Linked DNA regions of Lepisosteus oculatus. The protein of the gene in region 1 interacts with the protein of each later gene in a pairwise test. Links are inferred from orthologs where the notes say so. Each region holds a gene or a part of one and is shown on either strand. Other genes may lie near its edges.

The links.
Region 2: the proteins of txndc5 (region 1) and gmppb interact in a two-hybrid assay, tested with the Homo sapiens proteins (2 studies listed by BioGRID and IntAct). The two-hybrid records come from large-scale screens. The link is inferred for Lepisosteus oculatus from reciprocal best matches to the Homo sapiens genes TXNDC5 and GMPPB.

Annotation. Positions count from the first base shown.
Region 1 is NC_090701.1:3,349,741-3,360,310, reverse strand, and holds the start of txndc5 (thioredoxin domain-containing protein 5), read left to right. Parts: upstream 1-5,932; 5' UTR 5,933-6,359; coding exon 6,360-6,550; intron 6,551-8,252; coding exon 8,253-8,402; intron 8,403-10,495; coding exon 10,496-10,570. UniProt on the Homo sapiens protein: Protein disulfide isomerase of the endoplasmic reticulum lumen involved in the formation of disulfide bonds in proteins. Can reduce insulin disulfide bonds.
Region 2 is NC_090699.1:57,053,509-57,063,924, reverse strand, and holds the start of gmppb (mannose-1-phosphate guanyltransferase beta), read right to left. Parts: upstream 4,540-10,416; 5' UTR 4,348-4,539; intron 2,490-4,347; 5' UTR 2,484-2,489; coding exon 2,355-2,483; intron 1,954-2,354; coding exon 1,873-1,953; intron 1,424-1,872; coding exon 1,375-1,423; intron 508-1,374; coding exon 365-507; intron 1-364. UniProt on the Homo sapiens protein: Catalytic subunit of the GMPPA-GMPPB mannose-1-phosphate guanylyltransferase complex. Catalyzes the formation of GDP-mannose, an essential precursor of glycan moieties of glycoproteins and glycolipids. Can catalyze the reverse reaction in vitro.

The DNA.
Region 1 (10,570 bases):
TTTTCAAGCAAGGCTTCTGTCCGAAGCACATGCTTCTGAACAGGCCACTGGGGGTCTGTCAAGTTCCTGGCCACGGGCAGGAGAAACCCCCCACCACAGTCATCTGGGAGATCGGTGAGGGAGCCCTGGGACAGGTCCTGGGCTGAGGCCTTGGTCATGGTGGACCAGTCATGGAGTCAAGGCAGCAGCCGAGTCAACAGTCATCCGAATCATGATTTGGCTATAACCAAAGTCTCTCCAAGATGGGTGCCCCTAAACTTCAGTGCTCAGGGTCGACACCAGTGGAGGGAGTCAATTGCTCGACTTGTACTGAGCTCCCTGCCTGACCGGATGCTAGAGGTGAGACGCGAGTTCACCAATGCTGCGCACCCTGAGAGCCGCCAGGAATCCATGCGTCTGAAGCTCCAGGGGGCTCTGCCTCCAAGACACTACACACTAAACCACCAGGGGCCAAGATCAGCTTTATTAAGGAAGAGCAGCATTGAGGAGGAGGAGGCAGTGCCGAGGGATGACCTGCCACAGTTGCTCCTTGCCAGATTCCTTCTGCGGAAGGAAATACCTCAATATTTCTGTACTGTATGAGCCATTTACATCAAAAACAGGACAACCAATGATCACCTGGGATTAATAAGGTATAGCAGAGCACAGCTGTCTCTTGATGTCTAGTTATAGCCACTCTTCAGCCTTGACAATGTCTGAAGCTGCCACTTGAAATCAAGGACATACTGTACCAGACAGAACAGCCCAGTCAAGTACAGTGCACTAATGAGTCAGGTTGAATCCTGCAGACTGTGCATGCTTTGACAGTTTATTTATGAACTAGGGTAACTCACTTATACTGTATGTATGTGTAAGGTAATTCACTTACCATGCATACACATGCACACGTATTCTGATATGCTGCTTCTTTTGTATTCATCCCAGCAGAGTGATATACAGTAAGATCCCACCTGCTGGTGGTTTCCAGAAGGATTTAGCAACGAGGAAACGGGTTTGATCTGTGATCTCCGTGGCTCGGTGCTTTGTTTTGACAGGCATTACATGTCCTCTGTTCTTCACATCTCTCCATTCTCGAGTCACACCACAGGGACTCGAGAATCGTTCGTCCAAAATATCGTGTTCACAAAGCCACACACACCCCGAGCTTACACACGGTCTGGATTTTCCAGCAGCAAGTCCTCCCTCGAGCTGTGAGCCAGCACCTGTAGCGATGACAGCTTTGGGACTCCGGCCCAAGTTCTATGAGCACTCTGAAATTGACACGTACAACCTTCAGTAATGTTATTACTGTGAAGAAATGCACACCTGTGGGGCATGTTAAATACAGTGAGTCAAATGTGGTAGTCATTAGGAATCTGAACACTCAGCACACAGTAGTGCTAGAGAAAATGAGCTGCCCTGGTTTTTTAATCATATCACTGCCTGCTTCCAATGAAAAAAGTTTTTTTAAATATTAATTCCTGAGAAAGACTATGTGAACTAGATGAAGTGATTTCAAGAGTTTTTATAAATGGCTGGGTGGATTAATGATTGCTCTAACGGATCTCGTCATGCAGCAACTTGAAAGAAACCAGTGTTTTTTAATCATTGTTGAGTGGTTGTTTACCACAGCATCGATTGACAGGATTTCAGAATAATAATGTGATTTACAAAAATACAAGACTTAGAGCTGTTTCTGGAATGGAGACAAAAGCATAGGAAAGGGATAAGGGGGTTAAACACTTAAATAAAGACTTTCCTTCAGTACAAAGGAACAAACATCTTTGAGATTTTGCAAGGGCAACCTGTTTAATTTCGTTCTCCCTGTCCTGCAAATGAACTATTTAAAATATGAACTGAAAGTCGAAAAATTGAAATCAATGCTGAGATTCGTAACTACCAGCTGTGTCCCCTCTGAACATTCTCTAACAAAACAGGAAGCTTCACTGCAAAGTTTTTTTTCTTTGAATGTGTGCCAGTTAAAATAATATAACATTCAAAAGTAATGGTTTTGATTGTATATTTTTTCATTAATAACTTCCTAAAGATAAATACAGAATAATTCTGGTAATTTTAAGGAAGAATAAAGTGCACACTTTCATTTCTTAATTCTTATTTTATCAATCAAATGCCACTGTATGAAATGGTTGGAATGCACAAGACTAAAGTTGTGAATATTTAAGAAGCATAAAATAATTATATCAGATTGAAAATAATAATAATACACTAAACTCACAGTGTGATATTAAGAACATAAGAAAGGTTAAAAAATTAGAGGAGATTTCAACCTATGGAGCCCATTTAGTAGTTAGTAACTGATCCAAAGATCTAATTCAAATGTTTTAAAGAACCCAGGATATCAGCTTCAACAACATGGATGGGTAGCTTTTCTATACTTGCACTGGGAGTATTATTCTGTATTGCAGCAGAACAGCATTGAATCAAATGATTTATTGCATATACAGGTAAGGCACTGATGTGAGTATGAGTAAATACATATTTCTTCATTTACTTAAGTGCATTTCATAGGTATTGCGTTTTAATACGCATTTAAAGCTAGATTTCAGAATGGATTTAATGATATTTCAATAAATGTCATTTTGAGTCAGCCTATGTCAGTTATTAAGCCAATATTTTATTGATTTTAATTAGAGAGCCATATTTGTGCTCACAGCCAATTTAAACTGTCATTTTAAAAGTGACACAGTATTTGTAATCTGTTACTTGAACCATTTTTTCTTTCTCTCAGAAGCTTTGGCAGTGAAGTGGCAATTTGGTCTGCCTGGCTGCCTCTTCACACCAGTCACTTGCTGACTTCATTGCTTTTTTTTAATGTGTTAACTCAAGCAATTAACAAAATAAACACTGTGTCTTCAAATCTCCCGGGACCGTTGATCTGCTTTTTCTATTACAGCACATTAGCTATGGCTTGGCTACTATGGACAGCGAGCCCCGATAGTGCATTTCCAGGAGAAACTGCAGTGTTCAGGCTGCCTTGTGGTAAGAATTCCAGACTTGACATCGGCAGTTCAGCCACCCATGTACAAGCTGTGAAGGTGAAGTGCAGAGGACAGAAAACTCACAACAACAACTGTTTTCCCCAACAAACACTTCATGTCAGATTCCCTAATTACAGCTTTTTTAATGCCTTCTGCCAGGAATTGCTTCTCGTTATCTTTGTGTAAAGTCATGCAATGTTGAAGCTCTTAACCAGACCTTTCCTTACACAAACTGCATTTACTGAAGTCTTGCAGAAACTTGCTGCACTGAGTGCTTTCTGTTTCATTGTTTTGTTAATTATTGAATGCATGAGTGCACTGAAAGCAATGTGAAATATAGCTGGATATTATAATGGAATTAAATGCATTTACACATAGTTTTTAACAATAATAATAATTATTGTTGTGCTTTTCTGGACACTCCACTCAAAGCGCTTTACAGGTAATGGGGATCCCCTCCACCACCACCAATGTGCAGCCCCACCTGGATGATGCGACGGCAGCCATAGTGCGCCAGAACGCTCACCACACACCAGCTCTCAGTGGGGATGAGAGCAGAGTAATGAAGCCAATTCATACTGTAGATGGGGATTATTAGGAGGCCATAATTGGTAAGGGCCAATGGGAAATTTGGCCAGGACATTGGGGTTACACCCCTACTCTTTTTGAGAAACGCCCTGGGATTTTTAATGACCACAGAGAGTCAGGACCTCGGTTTTACGTCTCATCCGAAGGACGGCGCCTGTTTACAGTACAGTGTCCCCGTCACTATACTGGGGCATGAGGACCCACACAGACCGCAGGGTGAGCGCCCCCTGCTGGCCCCACTAACACCTCTTCCAGCAGCAACCTTAGTTTTTTTGCCCCAGGAGGTCTCCCATCCAGGTACTGACCAGGCTCACACCTGCTGAGCTTCAGTGGGCTGCCAGTTGTGTGTTGCAGAGTGATATGGCTGCTTTTCCAACTAGATTTGATGGAATTATTTGATAATGTATTGCACTCTGCCCTAAAACTGTTATAAGGAAAAGAATTGTTTGAAAATGGATTGTTTGAAAATGGACAAATTAACCTCCTTAAAGAGAAATAACGCAGCAGTCCTAAAATCTCATAGCTCTGATAAGTTTTAAAATGACATTGGGGGTGAGGAGCTTCAATACTAATACTACTGAGAAACAAGGGCTCTCAGCCAAGTTATATTCCAGAGTCTGGGTCATTACTATTAAGAGTAGAGGGAGGGATCAGATATACTAGAAAATGTCCTCATTTTTTTTCCCTGGAAAATTTTCCAGGCCTGTTTTCTTTAAATTGTTATGAACCGGCACAGGAGGGGAAGGAGACTTATTTCATATTGTTTCCTGTTCATTCGTTGATACAATGTAATTGGTTCTCCTGCACACAGGGCAGCTGGCAGGTGAAGCAAAGTTTCCAGTGAAGAACTTGGAGCACAGGTGTCTCTCATTGTGCCGATGGTGCAGACCTTGACCCAGAAGGCCTGCGCTGAAAACATTCCGACACAGCATGTGCGGCACCACTCTTGTGCTTTGAGTTTCAAGCTGAAGGAGAGAGTGGTCTATGCATTTAATGTCATCCCTGGCACAGCTCTTAGTTTCTAAAATGTCATTGATACTACAAATGACCTCCAGAATTATCTGCTGCAGCTATCACTCCCTACCTCAATTCATTCCATCATTAGTTTTGCCCTAGCAATGGGGTGGCATATTTTAAGTTATAACATTCGGGTAATTTGGGTAAAATTTTAAAAATCAAAGGCTATTTTGTACCGATTCATTGATAGGGGTGGGTTTTGCAGGGATCTACTTTATGATTGCTATTTTGAATGTGCCTCTTAACCACATAGTCCTAAATTAGGGAGGGGGAGGGGCGTACATTTAAAATATTTTTTTATTAGAATGCTGACACAGCATCAGTCGACAATCTGAACAGGAAAATGTTGCCTTAGGTCCCAGCTGACTGTAAGGAGGTCATAAAAACTTCAGAAGTGTTGAATGTTGACTGTTGGTCAGCTCACCCCGGCGTCTGACCTTTTGTAAATCCTGCAAGAGGTTTTAAGAAAATGATGTGAACGAACGCCAGCGCGGTTGTTACTGAGTTTTAGTCTGCTTTACTTGAACACCACATCCTGGACTGAACAGATCGTGGATTTCAGCACAAACTGAGATGTACAGAGGTGTGCCACAAAGGGAACAGAAGCAAAGGCAACAGTATTTGTTTAGTTTATTTTGATTTTCATAATACCCTTCTTGCTAATGAGGTATTAGTTCACTAAAGCTGCATGTGTCTAATCAGAAATAGAACAGAGGCACTATTCTCAGTTAAATCTCCTCTCTAATCCCTTCCGGTATAAAGGTACTGTATCTTAGTCGAAAGGATTACCTTCTTCATCAGTCTTTTTTCAAATACATAAATGCCAACATCTTACCTGAATCTAAATGTCCCTCAATTTAACTCATCTTGCATTATATTATCATAATATCTCACACCATAAATCCTTTCCTTTACACCTAAATCTCTGCTTTGAAAACTGGGATGACCAACGTGACGAGAAGTACAGTACACTAGCTGACATGACTGTATAACGAGCATTTTATATCAAGTGACCCTTTCAACAACAGCAAATAAGTCCGCTATCTCTTTGAACAAATTGGATTTCGATACAAGGAGCTCAGCTAAAGGGCTGAGAAGAATAAGATGATGCTCTTTGATGAGGTCAGCAATGTAAGTACACATCGGCGTATTTGTGAGGCCAGCGAAGCGGTCTACGCGTCCGGAAATCATCACTTTTCAGAGAGCTGGGGCTCTAGATGTCCCGGGCTTGCACTGAAAATGCCGTCAAGTGTCCAGTATTTGATACATCATAAACAACATCATTATCATCGTCCTTATGCCTGAATTAAAACTACCGACGGGAGCCCAACAGAAACTAGGTGTGGCGGACGGCGGATGGCCGGGTTGCGCGAAGTCCTTTTAAATCGCGAGAAAACTTTGGGAATCACACCACGCTGTGTTAACATCGTATCTCTGGATATTTATTCTCACGTATAACATAAATGATATGGGGGTTCTGGAAGACTACACACTTTTTTTCTTTTATTCATTCCTGATCTCTCGGGAGCTACAGTCGCCGGCTCGCCCAGGCACCGGGACAGCCCGGACCCGTCTAGGCGCTGCCTGCGCCGCAAGTCGCTTTACGGCAGCGTGATCCACACACCGCCGCAAGAAATGAAACCCGGCAGAGCTGAATGAAAGCAGAAAGGGGGCGGGAAGGGAAGGGGGGGGAGTGCTGAATTGTATCCGAGCCGTCGCCGCTTCCCCCGCACAGTCTCAGTCTCGGATACAGGTGGCCCGGGCACGACGAGAGGCATGGTCTGCACAGCTGCCCCGCACGGTGTGGCGCTCCTGCTCGGCCTCGCCAGCTGCGCTCTGCTCCTCGGCCCGGCGAGGTGCGAGGACGGAGCCGAGGAGGACGAGCACTCGAAACATCTGTACACGGCCGAGATGTTCGGCAACGCCGTCGAGATCGCCCCGCACTTCGTCATGTTCTTCGCCCCCTGGTAATGGGTTTTTATTCCTCTGCCGGTACAACAACAACAAGAACAGCAGCAAAAAGGGCTGTCGCTCGATTCGAGGTGTTAACGTTTTTAGGATGGCCTTATCCGCCTTCGCCCGTAAAACCGCGAGTGCAACCAGGGAAGAAGGAGGGGGGTGGGAAAGATTAGTGGATCTTGCATGGCGTGGGCCGCCTGGGTTTGTGAAGTCTTAATGGAGCTCGAATGTAACGTGAGAAGCAAAAAAAAAAGACTTTTAAAAGAACATTGTTGCACGTCGTGTCGTGATCGGCAGGACGCACGGCCGATTTGTTAACGGGACATGAATAGGAAAATAAACTAGACGGTTCCTGACGCTCTCAAGGCGAGATTAGGATCTGAAAGGGAGGTTTTGCTAAACTTTTTTTTTTTGTTCTTAAAACAATGGGCGCTTTGGGATGCCGCGGGAAGGAGGGTCCTTTTAGGGACGGGTTCGGTTGGGGATTAGTGATTTATTGTGGACGCGATGGAAGAGGACGAGCTTTAAATTAGTAGTTTTCTCTTGCAGTCATGTTGCTCTTGCACGGTAGAACAAAAGTGTATCCAAGTGGCCTAAAAAGGATTTGATGTCCCAGCGTTAGCTCTGGGATCCGGAGTTGTGCCGTGGCTGCTGACGTGGCTAGTACTGACGTATCTCTTACAGACGGATATAGCTACACACCTAGATTGAATAATTTTTGGTCAGCATAGCATTACTGGTTTATACGAGGAATTGCCTTTTCAGCAGCCAGTTTTGAACTTTAACACGTCCTTGATCTGTGACTGCACGCGTGAACTAGGAAATGTTTAAACTCGAGGTCTGCTTCGATTGAACATTACCTTGCTGGATCTGCGGTTTAGGTCAAGGAAGTCTAAGATGCCATGTCACTGTGAGGTTCTTATGCATGATATGTGCCAGAGGACTGCAGTATTCGTCCTGGACGGTTGGTGTGTGTCTGCAGGGTTTCCAGGCAGGTCGGTGGGTCCAATAAACCCAATAAGAAGTTGATTTTTAATTCATTAGGGTTAATTAGAGCTAATGTTTCATGAAACCCTGCAGACACAGTGGCTGTTCGGGATCAGAAATGAAGACTGCTGCCTTTGGGTAATCACAGGGCACAGAAACATTTCTTTCCGACTTTTTTCTGATTTTTTAAAAATTATTACCAGTTATTTTTATTTTGATATCAACATTGCCACCTTTTATTTGGTGAAGAGCCACTACTTGAAAGCAGATGGGAAACCAGCAGGTTACTAGTCTAGTGTGAAGCAGCAGCTCCCAGAGAGCTAGGGGCTGTCGTAGAAGTGATCCAGTTAGGCCGATACTGACCCGATTCAGGTCGTCACGTGCCCAGCTGGGCACTGACCCAGACTGAAATCCAGGGGGGATCCCGAGCTCAGCTGCGAAGGGGCGCTCGTGCTGCAGTCTGCAGCCTGAGTGCAGAGCACACACTAACGTCCGAACATCACAACCTCCCTGCTGCTGTCACCAGACTGTTCAGTTCCATTTCCACAGCCTGCAGCTCCTCGTCTTGAGCCGTTCTCTCACTACTGGCGCCTCTCTGGAGTGAAAGTGTGAAGGCCAGGCTGTCCCAGCTTTGAGTGGCTCATTGACTGTCGCAGGGGCTGAGGTGTAGCCTAGCTGGTGAGACGTGTCTCACCCCTCCCCCCCCCCCTTCTGTCTCCTCAGGTGTGGCCACTGCCAGAGGCTCCAGGGCACGTGGAACGAGATGGCGGACAAGTACAACAGCATGGAGTCGCCCCCCGCCTACGTTGTCAAGGTGGACTGCACGAAGGAGACCACGGTCTGCTCTGGACAGGGCGTCCGAGGGTACCCCACGTGAGTGTGTTTCAGGAACACGCGTGTGCGGTTTGCCTTCGTGTGTACAGGGGGAACTCCGGATGGGGCCAAATGAACGAAAACAGCTGCACTGGGGATCCTCACCTCAAGCAGCATTGGGGAGCAGGAAAAGACACCTGGCCTCCTCTCGCTCAGAACCGGGTTTTTTCACCTCATCCAGAAAGACACAGACATTGCTGCCGGTCACTGGAGGGGGTCTGGGTTGTGCCAGCAAGGCATCTGGACTAAAAACATAAGATGAAATACGCAGACGAGGCTGAAGAGTATCCTCTGACTGACTTGTCTGTCCTAGACGGTCATTTTACACCTGCTCTTTTTGTGGTTGCTCCTGGAATTTCTTCTCTTTGTAGAAGAGTGATTGGTTTGGTAGCCGTCCCTGAAGAGGACCAGTTGTAGATGAATAGTGTTCTTTTAGTCCCATTAGTGTGTGGCGCTCCCTCTGGATTCACACATCAGGTGCTTGACTGTTCTGCGGGTCTCTAGTGTATTAAATTATCGTACCAAATGTGTATAATAATACTGGTATTGAAAGAGAAGTGGAGCATGTTTATTCTTGAGCAATTTGATTAGATGGGGAAGCTTGGCGGTTTTTATTGTTCTTCCTTCCTTTATTTGTTATGGGATTCAGCGTTCTCTACAGCAAACATTCAACCGATGACAAATTTTCTTGTTCTACTCCAGACAATTAAAGATGCAGTGGCGCAGAGGCGTTTAACATTCAAGGCGCATAGCTCGATCAAAAGCGGTTGTCAAGTGCCCTGCTGCGTGGCTTTGGTTAAGTGAAAGAAGAGGCCACGGTAAAATAAAAGACTGCATGATGTTTTATTAATGCCTGTCGAAACTTTTAAATGGAACACCTCATGCTTTCCATGTTGCTCTCTGTCTGTAGTAGTAATAGGAAATCTGAATCAAGCAGATAACATCTCACATGGCATAGCTGGAAAAAGCCGTCTCATTTAACAAGAATGTCTCTCAGTCTTAGGAAGAGGGTAGCAAAGAACGTCTTGGTGTTACTGCTTGACATGTTGCAGACTTTAAATGTTATATCTAAACTAGTGTGTGAGCAGTTAAATCATCGTTAATCTGTTGTGTAATGGTCTCTAAGATTTTGCTTTTGCGGTTTCACCTAATGATTCCCTTCATTATGTAGACAAGTGTTAATGTTATACAACATTTAACATTGCTGACGGTGTCGCGTTAAGCTTGTTTGGACTGTGTTTTGTGTTAAAGATTGCTGAATAACAAGCTTGATTTATTCTCTCCCAAACTATCGCAGATGAGTAACGGTCACAATTGTTGTAATATTGGAAACTAAAGGAGGCTTTGAGGAAACTGTTGATGCTCACAGAGTGTACATATTTTAATTCCTGAAGGCGGCTAAGATGTCATGAGATATTTACACACCACTGTATTTCGTAAATTTTTAATTTTTCTTTGAAAGATGTTAGAGATGCAGCTTGTTAAAAAATATTGCATAATATGCGTGAAATTGAAGTAAAAACCAGTTGAATCTTTACCTGGTCCTTCCCCACTTTGATTGTTTTTGGGGATTTTGAAACTACTGTACCTTGGAGATATATTTCTGTCTTTGTTTCACAGCAAGGATCTCTTCAGTTTCAAGATGCACACGAATGTTCATTTGTGTGTTTTGTGTTCTTGGACATATCCTGACTCTACCGTATTGTATAAGTGCAATGAAAACGGGCTGCTTTAAAGTCGCCCTTTAGAGTTTATAACCTACTGAATAGCAGATTGGGATGTGGGAATGTGAAAAAGCTACCCAGCTGTGGTGTTAAAGCCAGTTCCCTGGTTTCCTTCCAGAAAGGCCTGGATTGGATCCATTAACTACTAACTCCCCAACAGGCTTCATGGGCTCTTCTCTTTTGGAAACCTTCTTGGGCTCCACAATGTTTTTGAAGTCTTACAAAAGAACCTGGTTTGGCGCCTACATGTCACATAAACTGCCCATCTGTATCTGTATACACACTGTCCTCTGTGCGCGGTCTGCATGCTGCTCTCACAGTGAAGTGGAGGGGTCCTGTAGAAACTGCTGTCCCTCTTGCGTTTTTCAGTCTGAAGCTTTTCAGACCGGGTCAGGAGGCTGTGAAGTACCAGGGACCCCGAGACATGAAGGCACTGGAGGACTG
Region 2 (10,416 bases), on another chromosome or scaffold:
GGGTAATAGAAACAGCAGTTCCAGGTATGTAAGATGTTACTCAACTGAGTGTAAAAGCTGGTTGCTGAAAACATTCAACATTCAAACATCAGTTTCGCCCATTCTCTTGGGCATTGATACAGTATGTTTCCCTCTCTTGAATGTACGGCCAGGATTTATCACCGTCATCTCTACACAAGCTAGTGTGGAGTGTGGGGGACAGAGTACAAGTGGGTATTCCCTAATTTCACAGTCTAAACACCTTCACCTCCATGCTGATCCCAATCGTGGAACACTGAAAAGATTCCTGACCCGCTGTTCCCTCACCAAAACGCGGGTGATACGCAGTTAAGGGGAGAGTGATGTGGACGTAGAGGTCACTCACCACTATGGTGCCCTCCTTGCCATGGTGCTTGTGGAACTTGAGCATGTCCTCGAAGGGGAAGTCACAGATGACATCGCTGTTAAGCACAAAGAAGGGCTCTGTGTTGTCAGTCAGAAGCTCCCTGGCCAGAGCTAAGGGCCCCGCTAAAACACAGATGAACACAGTCATCACTAAACCCACCAAGAAATACATCAAAATATCAGCCACTGAACAGTGAGCCTGCAGTAATCATTCGCACATAAAACAGGACGTCCCCTTTAACGGCCCAAGTTCACCCATTGTTTTTAACAAAGGGGGTTCTCTGTCCTGAAACGATGCTCTCTTGTTATTCACATTCAACAATTGCAAACTACTTTATATGCAACTACTTTTATAGATCAGATTATATATTCAATATTTCTCATTATTCAATATTTTTATTTAATTTTATGTAATACTTTAGCATGGGTGTTGGGGTCATGTAATACTTTAGCATGAGTTCATCTGACTAACGAAAACACCAGACGAAAAGAGTCTTCACCTCTTTTATTAGTGTTGGGTACATTTAATTGTGCCAGTCTTGACAGAAAGTAGTTGGAAAGGCAATGGCTTGCTATCTGACGACACCATTGCAAACCACATGTGAACAGGAATGAGTAAAAACTTGATTTGATCCTCTGGTAAACTGATAATCAGATTCAGAAAAATTATCCAAGTTATTAGACCAAGGGGAAAGTGGATCACTGAGCAAGTCAGTTATTCACCAGCAGTGAGGGAATTCATCCTTAATTAATTAATTCATCCTGAGCTAAATATATGACTATATCAATAACACTGAAGTGCTTCTCAGGCACAGCTCACCACATCTTACTTCTTAATCTCACAATATTGTTTTTTAAAAAGCGAGAATTTCCCTTTTCATATGTTTTTATGCCTTTCAGTCTTCAAAGTCTGTACTTATTAAGGTGCTCAAGAGCAATTATTGTTGTTGCTGGTTTTAGTATTTTTCCAGTCCTTCCTGATTCACTTACCTGTTCCCAATGGCTCCTTTTCATGAGAGAGGGATATTCGAATCCCAAGCTGTGAGAGAGCAAGATAAGAAATGGCATGAAACACAGAAGCTCGGCGAAAATGTCCCGCTTTAAAGCGATTCAAACACTAAATACGGGTATTCAGCACCCACAAGTAGTGGGTAGTCTAACATCAGACATAAACATGCAGGAACTAGATGCTCCTCTGGTAAGGCAGCAAAGCTGTCTATGTTACTGTAATCCTTTAAGGTTATGTCTAATATATCCACATGTATTGACTGTACATGTTCAAATGTGAAAATTATAGCCCTTCAAATGTAACCATTTATATATATGCCTCTGACTAGTTGTACTAGTTGTAAAAGTCATAATATGAACAAAGTGCCGATACAGTATGTGACAGTGAATATCAAAGTCACCCTGAATCCCCATGTCCCTTATAAACTAAGCATTCCCAGAAATAAGCTCCTTCTCTTTCACATCTTCCAAGCCACCTACCCTCTGCTCCTGGGCCTTCATTTCCTTCTCCAGCAGCTCAGACATGTAGCTGACAGCCAGGATGACATGGTTCACACCAGCCTAAGCAATGCAAAAAAAACTCCACTTAGCACACAGACCATTTCCCTTGGACTTAAGACCATCACATACCACAAGGAACTACTCTGAATGGAACCTGAACTACTCTGGTTACAGACAAAAATACATAAGAACAAGACTGATTTTTCTTTTTGACTGGCAGCTTTTTGTAAGAAAAACAGCTCAGGAATGAAGATTCACAGAAGAACAAGTTTCAAAACATAATGGTTATTTCTATTAGTAAAACACCCTACCATGGTTGAAGACTTACCTTGAATATTAGCAGAGTCCTTGATAATTTTACTTCCACTGTTTTTAAAGGTGGGACACCATAGATGATCGGCAGGACTCAGTCAATTTCCTGAAGGAATAATTACTTTCAATCACACAAAATCTGTACTGACCTTCACCAGGGCTTCCACCTGGTGCAGAAGAATGGGCTTGTTGCAGAACTCCACCAATGGCTTTGGCACGCTCAGCGTCAGGGGTCGAAGTCTTGTCCCATAGCCACCAACCAAGATCAGCGCTTTCATGTTGACCTGAAAGATGGTGTAGAGACAGGTGGCTCAGTCTGAGGCAGGCATCTCCTCTAAGCACTGAACATTCAGCTCTTTCAATTTTCCCTCTACACACCCCTATGTAACTTCATCTTTGCATAATGCCAGCTGTAACTGTTGGACCGTTATCACTTCACATGACTCCCTCTATAATCCTGTCACCACGGCCTCAGCAGTTCAAGTGCCTTTCCAAGTCTTGATCAGTGTATGGAAGGACTAAATAAGGACATAGGATCAGTTTACCACCTTCTCTTTGTCTAATTTTCTTCACAATACAAAGAACTTCTGTTGCCCTTGAACCACTACAGCTTTGATTTTTCAACCAGAGCTCTTTAATATTATCCTTCGGATGAGACGTAAAACTCAGGTCCTGACTCTCTGTGGTCATTAAAAATCCCAGGGCGTTTCTAGAAAAGAGTAAGGTTGTAACTCCTGCGTCCTGGCCAAATTTCCCATTGGCCTTTATCAATCATGGCCTCCTAATAATCCCCATCTATAAGTTGGCTACATCACTCTGTTCTCCTCCCCACTGATAGCTGATGTGTGGGGAGCGTTCTGGCGCACTATGGCTGCCGTCGCATCATCCAGGTGGATGCTGCACATTGGTGGTGGTGTAGGAGAGTCCCCATTACCAATAAAGCGCTTTGAGTGAAGCGTCCAATAATATAATATAATACATTACTATTATTATCCTTCTGTGGTGGCAAAAACTTACGGTAGAAGACCATATTCAGAGTAAAGCCAAGCTAACATATACTTTGGATTTTTTTTATTTCAGAGTGGAAAATAAAAAAAAATCACAATGTATTTAGCATGACATGCATCTCATGATAGGCAAAACAGATTGCACAGTTCAGCTTCAAATTTGTGTGACTTTTCTATGGTTACAATGGAGGCTGGGTTATGGACGAGCTGAAGACTGTCAACACAATTACTGAATGGTGGACACTGTATTTATTCTTCTGTTTATGGGAGATGAAATAACACTACAGAAACTGACAGTAATGCAGAAATTACATCTATTATGAACTGACATTGACCTCACCTTTAATGGATCATACCACAGAACAAGAGACAGAAATAAAAATATTTTGAAACAGAAGGTCAATAAGACCCTCGTGGCAAACACAGAAGTCACTTAACAGACACAAAAACCCATAAAAACACACTGAAGTAAAAAAAAAGGCGTTTTTTTTGCAAGTTCAGAAGAATGTAATATAATGTATTTGAACATTGCTACTTTCACTGCCTGAAATGTCCAGGAAGACGAAGACTCAGAGATCGTGATTCACACTGCATCTACAATCTACTGTGTCTGTTCAACAAGTTAGTCCAGTTATTCGAGGTAGTTAGCGAATTGAAAACATGACGTCACGGCTGGTTACGTGTAAAAAAACATTTCATTCATAAAAAACACGAATAACAATTATCGGCAGGATTACATTTGACGCACTTCACGGTTTAATTAAAAACTATGTGCACTGTAATAACTGAAAAGTATTAGTCCCGAAACATAATCATTTTTTTCGTGGCATATGAAGTGAACGAAAACACCTGTACCATCACAGGTTGTGATGAGTAATTGAACGAACTGGTATGCAGCACTGTACAGTATTGTTGCACACATTAACAAGCGTCCTGCGAGCTATGATGAAAAATACATTCAGCAGTTACTTTTTCTTCGAATGCACACATCAAAGTCTAAAATGGAAAAACATTAAGATGAGTTAATACTGAAAACAACACTAAAAATAAAGGCAGAACCCGAATGAAAAAAGCAAACTTCATACAGCAGCACATTTGCCGTTGAGAATCAAAACCTTCTCACTTCGTCACTTACCTGCTGTATCAAACTTTAGGATATTTCACTGTTCGGCCTGGAATGTGTACTCAAAACAGCGATCTCGATACGGCAGGGCTGTTAAATAATTTGCACAATATATAAACTACAATATTACTGTTTTCTCTTTCGTGAATGACTGACAGCACAGTAACTCTATCAAAGGGGCGGGACAAGACCACAATGCATTTGAACAACAACTACTACGAAATCTGGGGTTAGGGGTCATTGGGAAATACCACTTTGCAGGAAGGTGACTTTAACAAAATTATGAATAAACTCGGTGAAGGCAGCAAGATGCCCCTATACTAATATCTAGCGACTAATATAAACATGGCATTTATATTTGGGATTTTTCTTAATTCGAAACAAATAAAACGTCCTCTTCTTTTTATCAGCACGTTGGTTCTTCCATTCGGTCACCTAGCAACCAATGGACGCCAAGTTGTGAGGAAATAGGGAAGTTGCGAAGGGGGAGGATGAGTAAACCACATTACTGCAGAGTCTCCTTACTCATCATTCAGATTATAACACTACTGCTCCTTTGCATTGTGTTTTGGCTGCACAATTACCTCAGCGAGTGTTTTATTTTGTACATCCTGGTTTGACCGCGCCCCTTCCACGGTGCTTGCCGGCCTATCACAAGGAACTAACGTGGCAAGGAGGAAGTAGTGCGAATTGTCCAATAGCAATCGCACACAACACTAAGGTCTTTTTTTTTTTGCTGACGTACATACGAGTTACCCATGACGTATTAGTCCATTTGTCCAATTAGAAAGAAGCAAGTTGAGCAAGTGCATAGTTAAAAAAACGATCTCAAATAAAGGTACGTGACTAGAATTCTGGTGATTTAGTCTTCCTTGCATTAGGCGGGTGAAGACAATGAAGATAATGGTAAGGGGTTCCATAGTTAGATGGTTAGATTTAGAGCTTTTAATACAGTGATTACCGTTGTAACTACACCTATATTATTGTTAGTACCAGAAAGACGTGTATTTTAGAGTACCGTGAAATGAACTACATGTTAAGAACTGAAACAGTCTCTGAACGCCGAGGTGAATCCAAGAAAATCTTATTTTAGTCCAGTTAGCTTGCAAAATATAGCGTGACCTCGTATTGGCGACGTTTAATGCGAAAATACAGTGGATGGGTTGATTTTCCATATGCATACGGTCCAGAGACGTCCTTCTGACAGCCCCTGGGTTTATAATGTAAAGCATATCCATACTACTCCCGGTTTTATAGGTAACAAATCAATCTTTATGACTCTGGAGAACTTGTGATAAATTGTAGGAAATCTGGTGAATAGAGTAATTTACACATGATTTGGAACATAAATTGAGCCCTTAAGACCCAAAGTTCCCTGAATTAAAAGCAACTTGCTTAATTGATCACTAACTTACAATGGCTCCCTGATCTTCAGAAATGAGTGATTTTGGATGAAGACCATTGTGGGTTTTGAGAACCAGTGCTGGTGACCCCTTTATTATAGGCTGGTGGTTCTCACCCCTGGTCCCGAAGGACAACAGTGCCAGTTTTAAGTCCAACTGGGAATCCACCGATAACCAGTGCGAAAGGATGCTTGATCTATTTGCTGGTTCATTCTTTTTTCTGCATTAAGTCCTTGGTTTCAGAAATACCCTAAAGAATGTTATATGCACCTTCCACAAATATACATTTATAAGTCTCTCCTCAACTTCCTAATTATTCCCATTATTTCTGTCTTAAAAGCTTTTAATTATGAGCACAGATAGGCACGACATTGCATCAGGCACACCTAAAGTTTTTTTTTTCTTCGGTTACTCTGGTCACATTTTTAGTTAACATACCTGGATAACTCTGAAACCGAGGAATTGGCACAAAATTGATAGTTAGAAACTCCATTCACTTCTTATGAGATGAAAGAAAACCTAATAACATACCTATATTAGAAAATCTCAATAAATTCACATACAATTTGAACTTGGCTAGAGCACAAAATAAATGAAAATCCAACAGTGCCCCAGGACCATTCTTGAGAACCACTGTTACAAGGAACTCAAACCCTTCTATGATTAGAAACAGCTGCAATTAAGACCAATTCCATCATCAATAATTAATTCAATTAAGACATTGAGAGGATGGATGAAATGAAAACCCGATGGACCCATAGTTCTTCAAGACCAGGAGCACAGCTTTAGAGAATGGCCACAGATTTACACTGGTAAAAATGTGTTTCTTCAGGGTAAAGCTTACCAAGATCTTAGTCTCACTAGAAAAAGAAAGCCTTAAAACCTAATCTTTGTAACCACTGGTGCAATATCGAACAAGTTGTATGATGCATTGCTGTAATCCATTTCTAATTATATTAGTCTGTGAAATGGGAAAAAATTGCATCACCATTTCTGAGAAAAATGTTTTACTGTGAAATTTTAATACTGCAACTTCTAGCGACTATATACCTGGTGAAATCAATCTGGTTTTGTTTTGACATCAATAAAATGTTAGTTTTTATTTATCCCACCTCAAGGCACCAGTGTACTGTCAATAAAGAGACAAAGAGTTAACTGAGAAGATATTACTTAATCAAATATACAGTATATAATGTTTACATGATACACTTCTGAATTTGAGTCTGTATTTTCAAGTTTAATTATGGAATAAAAAGCTGCATCATGTTTGAATGTTTGTACTTATCATGTACAGTAAATATTCAAATTGATTTCAATTAATATGAAAATCAAAATTGAAAAATCTTTTTGATTAGATGTCTTGTTTAAGGGATAAATGATGTGACTACTGTTTGTGTTGCTGCTCTACAGGTCATTTGGTTACACAGATGTTTTATTATTAATGAGTATTATAATGTTATAATATTCTAACATTAGTTCCTCTCAGCGATACTTGATGAATAGATTCTGAAAAACACTTCCACAATACTGTATTTTCTCCTTTACTTCATAGCTTTTTCTGTGCTTACCTCAAAAAACTGCATGTTCCAGGCGATGCTTGGAAAGATTCCTGGCAAGTCTACAAGTTTAATTTGCTATGGGTATTCTTATGCTTTAAGTGACACAACATGCATAGAATTCAGCAAAAGTTACTATCTGCCTGCACACAGTTTTAAAAACGTTCAGAAGTTTGTCTAGTATATTTGTGTGCACTTAGTTGGATGGAATATTAACTAATTGTACTGACCTGTTTTGCAGCACTGATATTATTTGAATGTTTATATGTACTATTTCTAGTTTCAATTGCAAGTTAATATGTTATTAAACCCAATAATAATTGGTTACACTTATATAGCGCTTTTCTGGATACTCCACTCAAAGTGCTTTACAGGTAATGGGGACTCCCCTCCACCACCACCAATGTGCAGCCCCACCTGGATGATGCGATGGCAGGCATAGCGCGCCAGAACGCTCACCACACATCAGCTATCAGTGGGAGGAGAGCAGAGTAATTAAGCCAATTCAGAGTGGGGATTATTAGGAAGCCATGATTGGTATGGGCCAATGGGAAATTTGGCCAGGACACCGGGGTTACACCCCTACTCTTTTCGAGAAACACCCTGGGATTTTTAATGACCACAGAGAGTCAGGACCTCGGTTTTACGTCTCATCTGAAGGACGGCACCTATTTACAGTATAGTGTCTCAGTCACTATACTGGGGCATTAGGACCCACCTGGACCGCAGGGTGAGTGCCCCCTGCTGGCCCCACTAACACCTCTTCGGTAAGCAGCCTTAGTTTTTCCCAGGAGGTCTCCATCCAGGTACTGACCAGGCTCACACCTGCTTAGCTTCATTGGGCTGCCAGTTGTGAGTTGCAGAGTGACATGGCTGCTGACGTCATATAGTCTTACTTCCCAAGTCTTCTTTCCGGCAGCAGCATAGTGAAAAAAATACAAATATTTTGTAGCTTGTGGTATAGGGAAGAGTTCAAATGCACCAGTTTTAATATAGGTTTGAGGCGATTGATCCAGTTTCTTATTCTTAAGCAATTATATGTACAGTAAGTTCCAGAAGTACAAATTCCATGCTGCAGCTGAATGCTTCATGGGATCTCAATTTTCACCTCAAGTGAAAAGATGTTCAAAACAGATCAACATGGAAGATTGTGGCGATACCCACAGAATACTCTGATCCCTTGACCCATTTTATCAGCAAAATCTGCACATATTCCATGTGAATCACTACCCAAAACAGGACATTCTCTGATGCTTCCTATAATCTTAATTTCTATGACATGGAGGGAAATTAAGATTATAGAAAGATTCTATAGGAATCTAAGAATTTTCAGCCATGAGCAATTACAAATAAAATCCAGTTTCTGTCACTTGCCAGTGCTGTTATGCTGCAAAACATTGGTAGGATTTTTATTAACCATTTATTGGCTTAATCCTAGGGAGTACATTGCTCTAACATTGTTACATGAACATTCTAATACAATGAATTTATGCCACTGGGCTTGGCAACTGCTTTCTTTGCACTGCTATACATTCGGAAAATAAACTACTATAAAGCTGCCCAGACATGACAAGACACAAGCATTTGATGTCTGGTGTGAAAATGTAATGTAGCCAGGATTCCCTATTAAAGGACTGATTTATAACTGGTACATCCAAATTTCAAATTGCAAGATTGTTTTCCTATCAAAATTAACAACATGGATTCATATACCTGTAGCACCCTTTATTAATCCAAAGACTCCCTAAGGTGCTCTAGAAAAATGGACCCAGATGAAAAACATATAAAAATATATTCAGGCCCTTTTAAATAAAATGTATGCTCCCTGTACACCAGATATTATAAAAGATTAAATGAGATTAAAATACAGTTCAGTTCTGCTGATGTGCAGCACAGTAGTAGAATCTTTCAGTGTTTTTCTTAAGTGTACTGTTCCAGATGTGTTGCATGTCAATCACTAAAACTAATATATACACATAAATAACAAAAGAGATGAGACACATTTTTTTAAATAATTGTTTTAGTTCACATTCAAAGTTGTCATAAAGATGTCATTTTATATTTCTTCTTAAAAAAATATCCATCCATGCAACAAAAAAAAGATACTTTGAATTTTTGGGGCAATATATTTCTCTACTAATCATCTGACTCATTTCTATGGAAAGACTGGCAATAAACATCCAACAAAGAGGAGGGTTTTATGACTTTAAACCGATCCCCTTTAAAGAGTGCAGACTTTTTTATTTCTTTTAATTTGGCCCAATCTTACCTTCTCTGGCATATAGCAGAAGTTCAATTTTACTAGAGACTGAACTCCACAATAGAAAGAAACAGCACAAACTAGGCTATTTTTGAAATGCTAAAATATTTTAAATAAAGAATAAAATATATATTTCACATTACTAGTATGTGTTTCTATATGACTAATCTGTCTACTAGGATGCAACTTTCAATCCAAAGAGTTTTGACTGCAAATATACATCAAAAGCATGACAGTCTTAATTGGAAAAGACTAGTACCCAGAAGATTTGTAGCAGATTGCACTACGTAAAGGAATTCCTATGAATCAAATTCAAAGGAAATGTAGTCCAAGCCATGCAATATTATTTAGGCAATTAAAAATTCACTAAATTTTGAGACCAGTTGCCCCAGAATGACAGAAGAAAAAATTGTTAAAACGTTATTAAAAATTAGAATTTTCAGCAACAATCATTAGTTTCTGAAGCAGTGGGCACTGAAGAAAAGTAGTCAGTTCTGCTGGTCTCAGAAAAATCACCAAAATGGAAGACCGTAAGTTAGCTTTGGCACTGAAAGATAGGCAATCAGGAATGCTAGCACAGGAATGGTAGACATCAATATCAACACCCATATCACTATGCTAAGAGATGTCAGAAACAGTACATTACTTAAGGAATGACTTTCCCTTTGGGGAATCCTTTCCTAACTACAATCTGTATGCTATCTCTACAGTTCTGTTATACACTTAAAACGGCATTTTAAAATTAAAATTAAGAAAAGTGTTTATTTGCAGTTATTGAAATAAAAATTCTGGTTTCACACCAGTAACTTTAATGTTACCACTGGTGCCCACCCTGGTAATAAAAATAAAGAATTTCTGAAGT